Lepisosteus oculatus: one gene and its partner. The protein of the gene in region 1 interacts with the protein of each later gene in a biochemical or structural test. Links are inferred from orthologs where the notes say so. Each region holds a gene or a part of one and is shown on either strand. Other genes may lie near its edges.

Evidence for each region. The genes of interacting proteins can lie anywhere in the genome.
Region 2: the proteins of dnm1a (region 1) and sh3gl1b form a complex in vitro, tested with the Homo sapiens proteins (2 studies listed by BioGRID and IntAct, with this or other methods). The link is inferred for Lepisosteus oculatus from reciprocal best matches to the Homo sapiens genes DNM1 and SH3GL1.

What each region holds. Positions count from the first base shown.
Region 1 is NC_090719.1:12,811,524-12,817,383, reverse strand, and holds the start of dnm1a (dynamin-1a), read right to left. Parts: upstream 3,919-5,860; 5' UTR 3,654-3,918; coding exon 3,493-3,653; intron 2,039-3,492; exon of another isoform or gene 1,878-2,038; intron 1-1,877. UniProt on the Homo sapiens protein: Catalyzes the hydrolysis of GTP and utilizes this energy to mediate vesicle scission and participates in many forms of endocytosis, such as clathrin-mediated endocytosis or synaptic vesicle endocytosis as well as rapid endocytosis (RE).
Region 2 is NC_090724.1:9,724,860-9,730,719, forward strand, and holds the start of sh3gl1b (SH3-domain GRB2-like 1b), read right to left. Parts: upstream 3,096-5,860; 5' UTR 2,912-3,095; coding exon 2,867-2,911; intron 1-2,866. UniProt on the Homo sapiens protein: Implicated in endocytosis. May recruit other proteins to membranes with high curvature.

The DNA of each region.
Region 1 (5,860 bases):
GATCGAATTTCAAAAGGGAACGTGATGTCAAGAAAGTGTTCGAAGGAAGCAAAAAACGTGAAACAAATAGGACACGAAGAGAGTCAGGAACGACCTTACACCAAAAGGCAGTGAAAAGGATTCCCATGAAAGCTGATTTCTGGAGCCCTTTCAATCTAGTTCATTCACTAGGACCTCCGTGGTCTTTAGACTGACCAGATATTGTTTTCTCCTCTAGCGCTGACCCTGAGCTTAGTTTTAGACAGAAGATAGATTAAAATATCATGGGGATCTCTGTAATCCCATATTTACAGACTTTTCAGTTTGCCCATATCGTATAATGTGATAGCTAATTCTGTCCCCGAATTTAATTCCGCGCTGTTAATTGCTTAATTGAATCATTTTTTTAATTGATTAGCCAGTACTGCTGTTGTTCCCAGGTTTTCAGTCATTGACACTGTAAAGACAATTGCAAGGTCTGCAAGACTACACCATTTCAGGACAAGATCAGACTAGAGTTGTGACGCCCGGATTGTATTTCATGTGCACCGGGATTTGTCTCACTATAATGACAGAAGGAGATCGGAGAGCAAACTCCCTCCCACATAATTTGTCATGATCACACCCCATACTGCACTCCTCATTCCAAAGAAAACTGGTCAAACATTGGATTGAATCCTATTTATACTCAAACCAGTTTTAAATAATCTGCATTTTTGGGTACTCTCCTTCACATCCAAAAAGGCCATCACCAAATATTTGTATCTATATTGAGAGTTTAATATACGGTATTAATCTGTATTGATATTATTAATATATATGAATGGGCTCTGGTGCGAGTGTGTGTCTGTGTGTTGCCCTGTGATGGACTGCCGTCCCATCCAAGGGGTAGCCTGCCTTGCTTGCTTTGATAGACTCTGGCTTCCCTGCAACCCTGTGGTGGATAAAGGGTTTAGAAAATGGATGGTCGTACAGTTGCTTGTAGTTCCAGGAGATAAACAATACGATGATACAGTGCCTCGTGCGGATATTAAAACTGAGATCTGAATTCTCCTGTAAAGTAGTGACCCTTTAAACTTGCGGCATAATTGTGCTTTTTAAAAAAAAACAAATGTACAATTAGATTTTGTTATGCCGACCCGATTTGGAATCGCCAGGTGTGTGACTAGTCTTTTTCGAGTCACAGCTACTGTATGAGCACCGCCACCGCGCAGCTCAGCGAATCAGGAAGTGTCGACTCCTCGAACCCGCCCACTTTCAGGCCTCCTGTCTGAAAGGCACGGCGCTGATTGGACAACACGCGTGTCCATCACCCGCAGCGCCGCAGGGCTGCGCGTACCCCGCGCTTATTGCGCGTCGCCGAGAACCACTAGAGACCTGACCGACTCATCGCACCCTGCCCTTAGCAGACACAGTCCACTAGTGACTCGAACCCGCGGCACTAGAGTGAGCACCTATACTGGTTGAGACACTCATGATCATGAACAATCACATCCACAACGCAAATGAGGAATAATAAAAAAAGCTCAAAAGATAACAGACAACATAGGAAGACTTCAAAGGTGGCTTGTAAGTCATGTATGATGAACTGTCTGAGTGACACACACCTCTCTGAACCCTAGCAACTGACTACAGCCTTACTCATTAAGAACAGACACGTAGCGCACAGGTTAAAAGCAATATTGACATTTATTATTATTATTATTATTATTAATATTATTATTATTATTATTATTATTATTATGAAGTTGTTATCACAGGTAAGATGGGACAGTTTGATGCTGTCACGGTCACAACTGGAAAACCACACCGGACACGACGTAGGCCGGGCATCTCCAAAAAACAAAGGAGGAGCTGCTGGAAGACGTTTTTTTTGCGGGCGACGGGAGATAGGTGTAGTGGCATGGGAGGGGTTTAAAATCAGGGTTCCCGGGGGTGAAAAACAAAGTCCTCCAAAACGGTAAACACATTCTTTAAGGAGCCCGACGTTTCCGTTGTCATGGGATGGAGAGGAGCGTTCAGGCCGGCCTCGCCAAACGCACTGGATGCTGCAGTCCAGGTACAGTGCGCGCGTTGGGACCGGCCCCCGGGGTGATATCCTTCCCACACAAGGTCACGGCAACGTGCAAAGCCACAGACCGACCGCGGGTGTGTGCAAGACGCGTTTCACAGCGCGGACCCGTCCAGGGAACAGGGACAGAGCGCCCTACAGCTGCCTTGTATGTGTGTGTGTGCTCTCTCCTTGCAACCCGCAGCTCGCCAACTCTTCTTCAATGCGCTGAAGGTCAGAGCTGAACCAACACCACAGGACCGCGCCGGGCTAGCTCGACGCTTGCTAAAAAAGTGCAACAAAATGGCAGCTGTGCTCGTTTTAAAAACACCGCACTCCGTTCTATAGCCGATGGCTCTAAATATTTCGTAGGGGTGTGCGTGTCCTCTAAACAGCACCCCAGAGCGCAACTGAACTGCACCAGCGAGATCTAAAAATAACACCAAGCTCGGAGCTCCACACACCGGGGTAAGGTGCTCTCCTGCTACACGCATCTGCATATTTGATATATTGAACAGGGACGTCTCCCTTCAATAAACATCCTTGGGAAATTATCAAGTGAATGCATGGAATTGCTAAATACATTATGTTTATACCACTTTAGAACATCCCGACTGCACTATTTAACAGCCATATTTTTTTTCCGGTCTGAACTCCGCTCCCTCAGTTCCCTATCTTTTATTCTTGCAATTGGGGGGAAGAACGGGCTGTGTTTCGAGCCCGGGAAGTTCTCTGATAGATGGCTGGTTACGTGCGCATTTCTCATCGCATCACCGTGCGAGCGCCGCTGTCACCTGCCCCCGGCGACCCCCCGCAAGCGGCTTCAAATCTGCGGCTGACAGAAACGACAACAAAAAAATAGTAATCATTTTCATCTTGGGGGACGACAGGGACAATACAGGGCGAGCGCAAACCCGCTCCATCAGCGGCGGTACGTTCTGCCATTTAAAAATCGATATAACCCCCTTAATGTCAAAACCTCCACCATCAGGAGAGCTCGAAAACACGCTTGGAAAAAAACACCTCCACTAGGATTAGTGCACCTCAATAGGACAGAGAAAGAATCGTTGACACTGGTTACAAATAAGCTAAAATAGCAGGCGAAATGTGTACCAGGAAATATACGGGTTGGATTGATGTGTTGTATCTTTCTATTGTATAATATGTCCACAGCACTGACAGTGCACACTGTTTATGTAACGGAATAATCTCCCCTCATATTTGCCCCCTAGCTATGACGATGGCTGACAGGGATTTCATCGATTTGAGAAAATTCAGAAACCCTTCAAGAGCAATTCCCCCCTTGAAAGGCGAATTGAATTTGACAGCTGCCTCGCGATTTGTTTTATTTTCCCCAATGCGTTTTTAAAGGGGTGGGTTTTTGGAGACCACGGTATGGCCACGGTCACTCTTGCTGTCACCTTATTTACGCAGCGAAATACCACAAAAAAAAAATCACTTACTTTCCAACGAAGTTCTCCAGAACCGAGCTTTTGCCCGCACTTTGGCCGCCGACCACGGCGATCTGGGGCAGATCCAGGTTGGCATTTTGTCCGATTGCAGAAAAGGCATCCTGGAGCTGATTTACCAGAGGAATTAAATCCTCCATCCCTCGGTTACCCATCTTTGCAAGAATAGCCTATTCTCCCTCACAGCCAATAAAATGAAGGCAACCCCCCAAAAAAATCGTTGATCTTTTTATTAGCTGGATACTGCAACGTCTGGACCCGATGGCTATGTTATTTTTGCATGCACCTTCATTGATTATACGCTGTCCGTCTCCCTTCTTAACGAAACGCGGCTTCTCGCCTCCCCCTCTTCCTCGGCTCTGCTGTCTCCCAGCTTGGCTACAGGATGATCTCCGCTCTTGTCGGATAAATGGGATATCCTTGCGATGATCGGCATCGGCCACCAGGGGGCGCAGGGACGGCGTGCGCCAGCGTGGACCGTGCTTGGCGTTCTGGGAAACGTAGTTTTCTTTGCACTGCGATAGAACGGTGAGAGCTGGTATTGCCCAGTGATGAGGTGTTCTTCATCTTGCTCAATTTTGTTTTAACAAAAGCTTGGCCACAAAGCAGGTAATGCGTTTTTTTAATTGACTTTTAATCGTACTTTTATGGAAATTAAAAGCAGCTTTTTTATTGAGCGATTCTCAAAGAAAGGTCTCTTCTAGAACAGCTCTTCCAAGGCCTGGTTCTTCTGATTTTGATTCTAGCTGAGCTCTGCATCTCCAGTGCTATTTGCTGACTTAAGTAACCTGCTTTCCTGCTTAGACTTAGCTTGTTTCTCTGGTTACTCTGAATACCCTGAACGCGAGGGAGGTCCTGAACTCACCCAGCTGGGCGACTCGGGCGGGCTGCTCAAGCCCGGGTTCGGGCTTTGATGCTGATCTGAATTGCTGGGCATTGAGGAGAACAATCCGGTCCCTCTCTCTGTTCTGGATCCCGCACTTGCGACAGACACACGCTGGGCCCTGGGGAGGGGCAAACGTCACCGCGGGGAAGTTTGAGGACAGAGGCGGCACACGTGAAACATATCCCAGTCCTGAAATAAGGTACCTACTGTAGGTAGGCAACGGAGATCAAAGGGGCCGGTGATGTCTGTTCTTTTGAAGGTGCCGGACGATGAAACGGTTCTATTTACATCCGTTGCAGTGGGGGATTTTTCTCTTGCTCGAAATGCAGAGCAAATCAATACTGGGAGCCCGCAAAGCACAGACTATGGCGCACTGCGTCGGAGACGAAAATGAGGATTTATGTAACACTAGAGCACTAATATACTATAATATACAGCAGTGAAGAGGCGAGGGCTGCTCAGGGGCAAGACTGGAAAAGAAATTGGTAAAGCACAGCCAAGTAACAGTCCTGTGTGTCATCGTGTAATCCAAAGTGAGCTGTTACATGGGGCAAAGTGCACTTTGCAGGAGAAACCTGTAACACCATCCCCTCTCGGATGACATTAGTATTAACTCTCTCAAAGCGCTTTACAGGTGATTGGGGCCACCAGTGTGCAGCCCCACCTGGATGATGCGACGGCAGCCGTAGCGCCCCAGTACTCTCCCCACACACCAGCTCTCAGTGGGGAGGAGAGCAGAGTGATGAAGCCAGTTCAGAGATGGCGATTATTAGGAGGCCATGATGGGTAAAGGCCAGGGGGAAATTTGGCCAGGGTGCCGGGGTAACACCCTTACTCTTTTCGAGAAACGCCCTGGTATTTTTAATGACCACAGACAGTCAGAACCTCGGTTTAATGTCTCATCCGAAGGTCGGCGCCTTTTTTACAGTATAGTGTCCCCGTTACAGATCAGAGGGTGCGCACCCCTACTGGCCCGCCATGGCTCGGTGTAACTTGTTCGTTATCGGAATGAACCAGATGAATCGCTCCTCTCAGACAGATTTGACAAAAACGGAAATTCCAGTTCAAAGAAAAGAAAATCACACCACAAAGTAAACTGCATGGTCACTGCCCTCTTAGATCTTTTGTATACATCATGCAATTTCTTAACTCCAGGATTAACTTTAGACCAAGAATAACCTATTATTGTTCCTTTGCAGCCTACGCATGTTGACGCAGCTCCCCACCTTAACTTTAGACCACTCACATGTGAAACATGTTTTACTTTATCTCTTTGAAAACATTTACAAGCTGAAAAGGTAGATACAGTACGTAGACTAGAACAGGTTTATCTCCCCCTTAGGGTCCAATTTATTTGTCATGGACAGGGCTGAAATATCACCTAAAGGGGATTTGGAAGCTCGTTGTGTAAAGTGCATTGAAGGATAAAATCAAACCATTTCTTTGCGTTCTGTTCTGCTCGAGTGTTCCTAGGCT
Region 2 (5,860 bases), on another chromosome or scaffold:
TATTGCGGAATAACAGGTCTGAAGCAGGAATGTGGACATTATCAGACCTTAACCTTACCCTGTAAATAAGAATTCCCAAGTGTGCTCTGCCAATTAATTCCTAGGAATCACAATCTTCCACGCATCAGTAACTCAAATTAAATATATAACCAAAGTTCAGCTTCTTCTGATGGGGAATATTTCATGCATAATATTTATAATAAGAAATGTCAATGATGCACTTGCGTAGGGTAACTTAACACCATCAAGGCCCCAACAGCACATACACACTAGACAAAATAACAACATGCATCATTAACCTTTCTAAACACTTGTGCAAATGACACCACAGGTACAGAATTACTAGAAACTGTTCACGAGATCTACTTTCAGATGAATGCTAAGAGCAGTTCTCCAGGTAGGTCAGAACAAAACGATAACCTGACAAGGACTGTGGGACTGTGGGAGAATGAAATTCAGTATAATTAGGCGCTACAGTACCAGTCCAGTAGAACAGTCCTGTTACAATAGGAGCTACAGTCCCAGTCCAATAGGACAGTCCTATTACAAATAGGAGCTAGTCCCAGTCCAGTAGACCAGTTTTGTCACAATAGGAGCTACAGTCTCAGTGCAGTGGGACAGTGCCAGTCCAGTAAGACAGTCCTGTTACAATAGGGGATACAGTTCCAGTGCAGTAGAACAGTCTGTTACAATAGGAGCTACAGTCCCAGTGCAGTAGGACAGTCCCAGTCCAGTTAGACAGTCCTGTCACAATAGGGGATACAGTTCCAGTGCAGTAGGACAGTCCTGTCAAAATAGGGGATACAGTCCCAGTGCAGTAGGACAGTCCTGTCACCTTAGGCGCTACAGTCCCAGTGCAGCAGGACAGTCCCGTCACAATAGGGGATACAGTCCCAATGCAGCAGGACAGTCCTGTTACACTAGGGGCTACAGTCCCAATGCAGTAGACCAGTCCCAGTCCAGCAGAAGTCTGTTACAATAGGCGCTACTGTCCCAGTGCAGCAGGACAGTCCTGTCACCTTAGGCGCTACAGTCCCAGTGCAGCAGGACAGTCCTGTCACAATAGGGGATACAGTCCCAGTGCAGCAGGACAGTCCTGTTACACTAGGGGCTACAGTCCCAATGCAGTAGACCAGTCCCAGTCCAGCAGAAGTCTGTTACAATAGGCGCTACTGTCCCAGTGCAGCAGGACAGTCCTGTCACCTTAGGCGCTACAGTCCCAGTGCAGCAGGACAGTCCTGTCACAATAGGGGATACAGTCCCAGTGCAGCAGGACAGTCCTGTTACACTAGGGGCTACAGTCCCAATGCAGTAGACCAGTCCCAGTCCAGCAGAAGTCTGTTACAATAGGCGCTACTGTCCCAGTGCAGCAGGACAGTCCTGTCACCTTAGGCGCTACAGTCCCAGTGCAGCAGGACAGTCCTGTCACAATAGGGGATACAGTCCCAGTCCAGCATAACAGTCCTGTTACAATAGGGGATACAGTCCCAGTCCAGCACAACAGTCCTGTTACACTAGGGGCTACAGTCCCAATGCAGTAGACCAGTCCCAGTCCAGCAGAAGTCTTTTACAATAGGCGCTACTGTCCCAGTGCAGCAGGACAGTCCTGTCACCTTAGACGCTACAGTCCCAGTGCAGCAGGACAGTCCTGTCACAATAGGGGATACAGTCCCAGTGCAGCAGGACAGTCCTGTTACACTAGGGGCTACAGTCCCAATGCAGTAGACCAGTCCCAGTCCAGCAGAAGTCTGTTACAATAGGCGCTACTGTCCCAGTGCAGCAGGACAGTCCTGTCACCTTAGGCGCTATAGTCCCAGTGCAGCAGGACAGTCCTGTCACAATAAGGGATACAGTCCCAGTCCAGCACAACAGTCCTGTTACACTAGGGGCTACAGTCCCAATGCAGTAGACCAGTCCCAGTCCAGTAGAAGTCTGTTACAATAGGCGCTACAGTCCCAGTGCAGCAGGACAGTCCTGTCACCTTAGGCGCTACAGTCCCAGTGCAGCAGGACAGTCCTGTCACAATAGGGGATACAGTCCCAGTCCAGCACAACAGTCCTGTTACACTAGGGGCTACAGTCCCAATGCAGTAGACCAGTCCCAGTCCAGCAGAAGTCTGTTACAAGAGGAGCTACAGTTCCAGTGCAGTAGACCAATCGTGTTACACTAGGGGCTACAGTCCCAGTCCAATAGGACAGTCCTATTACAAATAGAAGCTAGTCCCAGTCCAGTAGAGCAATCCTATTACACTAGGGGCTACAGTCCCAGTCCAGCAAGACAGTCCTGTTATAATACAGGCAACAGTCCCAGTCCAGTAGAACAGTCCCACTACAATAGGGGCTACAATACCAGTGCAGTTGACCAATCCTGTTACACTAGGGGCTACAGTCTCAGTACAGTAGGACAGCCATGTCACAATAGGAGCTACAGTCCCAGTCCAGTAGAACACACTAGGGGCTACAGTCCCAGGAAAAAAAAATAACAATTACTTTAAGAATCGTGTTGCTACAAACTGTCCTTCAAACTACACATATTTCCCTAAGATATTATATAACTATTCCTATTTTAATTAGCCTCTCAAAATCCCAAAAGCAAGCGTGCGGACAGAGGCGCAGTTATACTCACAGACAGAAACGTGTTGACGAGTCAGAGTCAATCGACTCTCTGGACGTCCAAGGACCTGCTTCAACACACTATCGCTACACAAGAGTTACACAACCGGCAGTAACGACACGACAAGAGTCACCCCAAAACCGTCAAGACACGCGCTGACGTGTAAAACAACAACTCGAAGCCAACTAACAGAAAGACTAAGCAACCAAGATAGCAATAAAACGAAAACAACAACAGCAAATTGTGCACTGACCTGGCTGGCTTTATAAAACTGCTTCTTCAGCCCCGCCACAGACATCTTGGACTCGGAATCGCTCCTCTCTGCAAGGCGGAGCCCCGGTTCTCTCGGTTATAACCCAGCCTTCGCTCTCTGCGCGGAACCCACCCGGCCCTGCAGTCTCTTGGACTCCCAGGACCCTGCAGGAAGTTACATGGCAACCGCGGAGACTTCCTGTTCAGCCGCAGACCGACGGACATTCCAGGGCAGCCTCGAGGGGCGGTGGGGGGGGGCGACCTCCTCTGTGTTCGCACAGCGCCACCTGCTGCCCAGGAAGTCAGTTCCAGGCGGGCAGCGGGTACGCGCAGTTTCGGTATGGGAGAGAATTTTACAAGCGTTAATTTTAGTGCCCATGTACACCCACAGTGTTTGGGGCTGTTTGCAGCGTAAAACATCAAAGTAACATTGAACAGAGATAAAGACAGTGATAAAAAAGTGAAAAAAGGAGAAGAGGCAAACACTAATTAAAAGCCTGACTAGACAAATAAATCTTTAGATTTAAAAACTGTAAAAAAAAATCATTTCCCAGATTTTCAATGTAAAAAAGGTTTTCACACTCTGTATTTCCAGATTGGAGATGAAAACTTTACCTTGTTTTCAGGGGAACTACCAGGTATTTCCTGAGGTTAAGGAAAATAACAGGAAAAAAATAGAAGATTAAATTATATTAAGTTTACAGGAAAACAAACAGTGGCAACAAGAGAGGAACAGTGAGACTGGACGCCAGCATAGACATGGACAGGACTGGGTGAGACACAGACAGGACCAGTGAGATCCAAACAGGACCAGTGAGACTGGACACCAGCATAAACGCAGACAGGATCATTGAAACTGGACACAGCACAGACACAGATAGGACCAGTAAAACTGGACACAGCACAGACACAGACAGGACCAGTGAGACACAGACAGGACCAGTGAGACTGGACACCAGCATAGACACAGACAGGACTGGGTGAGACACAGACAGGACCAGTGAGACTGGACACCAGCACAGACACAGACAGGACTGGGTGAGACACAGACAGGACCAGTGAGAGTGGACACTGTCACAGACACAGACAGGACCAGTGAGACTGGACACCATGATCAACACTGGATGGTGAACAGAAGCCCCAGTGCTCGTTTAGTAAGGTTGAGAACTGAGGTGCCATCAGGAATTGGGAAGGAGGATGGGATTGCCGGCACTGAGCGCGTCACTCCGTGATAATCTGCAACATCACCTGGACATGTCCATATCACAGTAACTGAAATGGGGGTGAAACATCTCATCACAGCATGTAGGATTGGCAGACCAGCAGGTTCAACAGCACCACTGCAGAGACGCTGAGGACAGGCAAGGCAGCCTGACCTCCAGACCGCAGTAGCTGGCTCTGGGCAGTACAACAGTATTGACCTTTGATCTGTGCTGAGTGAAGCCATTGTACTTCTCATCCCAGAATGCATCTGGGCTGCCACCTGCCAGCATCTTAGAGACGACTACAGTGGGCCGATTCTGGGCCCAGGAGCTCCAGGCCGGACCTAGAGTTCAGACTGTGAAGAATCATGGAATACTCACTGGAATATCGGAAACCTCAAATTCATTAACCTTGAGAAAACCTTTTATTCTGTTAAATTAGGGGTACTTTGCTAATTCCAGCACCCCAATCAGAACATGTACCCCTTATCTGTACTCCCTGTACAGAGAACTCTCTGTGTACTATCCTAAGATATGATCTTTATTTTTATATCCAGGTGGGGCTGCACATTGGTGATGGTGGAGGGGAGTCCCCATTACCTGAAAAGCGCTTTGAGTGGAGTGTCCAGAAAAGCGCTATATAAGTGTAAGCAATTATTATTATTATTATTATTATTATTAATTATTATTATTATTTATTTCTCCCATCAGCCATTTTCCAAACGTTTCTCATGTTGTAATCTCCTTAATTGTTCTTTTGCTGTTGTATTTAAAAAAATATATATTGGTTTAGACCCCATTGCAATATTATTTTCTATATATCTCTCTGATCTTCTGATGTCTTTTTTTCAGATTCCAGTAGAGAAAAACACATTCCTGGTCATTATTATATGTGTATATCGCAAAAAAAGAGAAAATTGTCATGTTGTGGAAGTTTATATTTCCTTTTATTTGTATGAGAGAGAGGTTAAAGAGAAAAACGTTTTGTCCTGGGGAAGCAGATTGTGTTGTTGTTTTGTGTTATTTTGTGTGGTGCTGTGTCTCCCCCTCCTGGAAGGCTGCGGAACCGCAGAGCCACGCTAAGCACAGAAGACTTCAGCGGAGCCAACCTTCAGTTTCATGGATTCTGATTTTTTTTTTATAACAATCCTATGTTTAGTTCTTGAATATGTCTGTGTGCTTGTATTATCCGTTAGGATTGCAATACCAGCTGTGAACGTTGTCTCTAGATTCTGCACCCAATCTGGTTGCCTAGCAACACCTCATTTTAACCTGACAAGTCCGCGCACGAATCAGCGGCCACCCTCCTGTAGCTTTCTAACCACCTGGCAAATCACCTCCTTTCCTGCCGACTACTCTTCTCTGAGCGACAGTTTCGCAGAGCCAGTCACGCACCTGTGCCAGTGTCCCTTGAACCAATCACATATCAGAACTATAGTTAAGAGTGACGTGACTAACCAAGTACTTGCCAATGAGCATCGAGAGCTCCCTGAAGAGGCGTATTCGTGGGGGGATAGCCTTCAGGATATCATAGGCTAGTCCCCGCCCCCCTCTTGGGTAGTTTCCGACATCTGGCCAATCAGCTGAAGCTGTTGGGGTCAGTGCGAGACTCCCGCCAATTCCGAGCTCCTAGCGCCTTCTGAGAGTGGGAGACAGAGAGGGAGCTCGGGAGGGCAGCGGCTTAATTAAAAATAGTTTAAAGTTTTGGAAAGAAGATTTTGAAGTTGAATAAGAACTCTTAGCCGCAAGCACGAAACCTCAGTCTGTGAGGGGGAGCGGGCAGAATCTGTCGA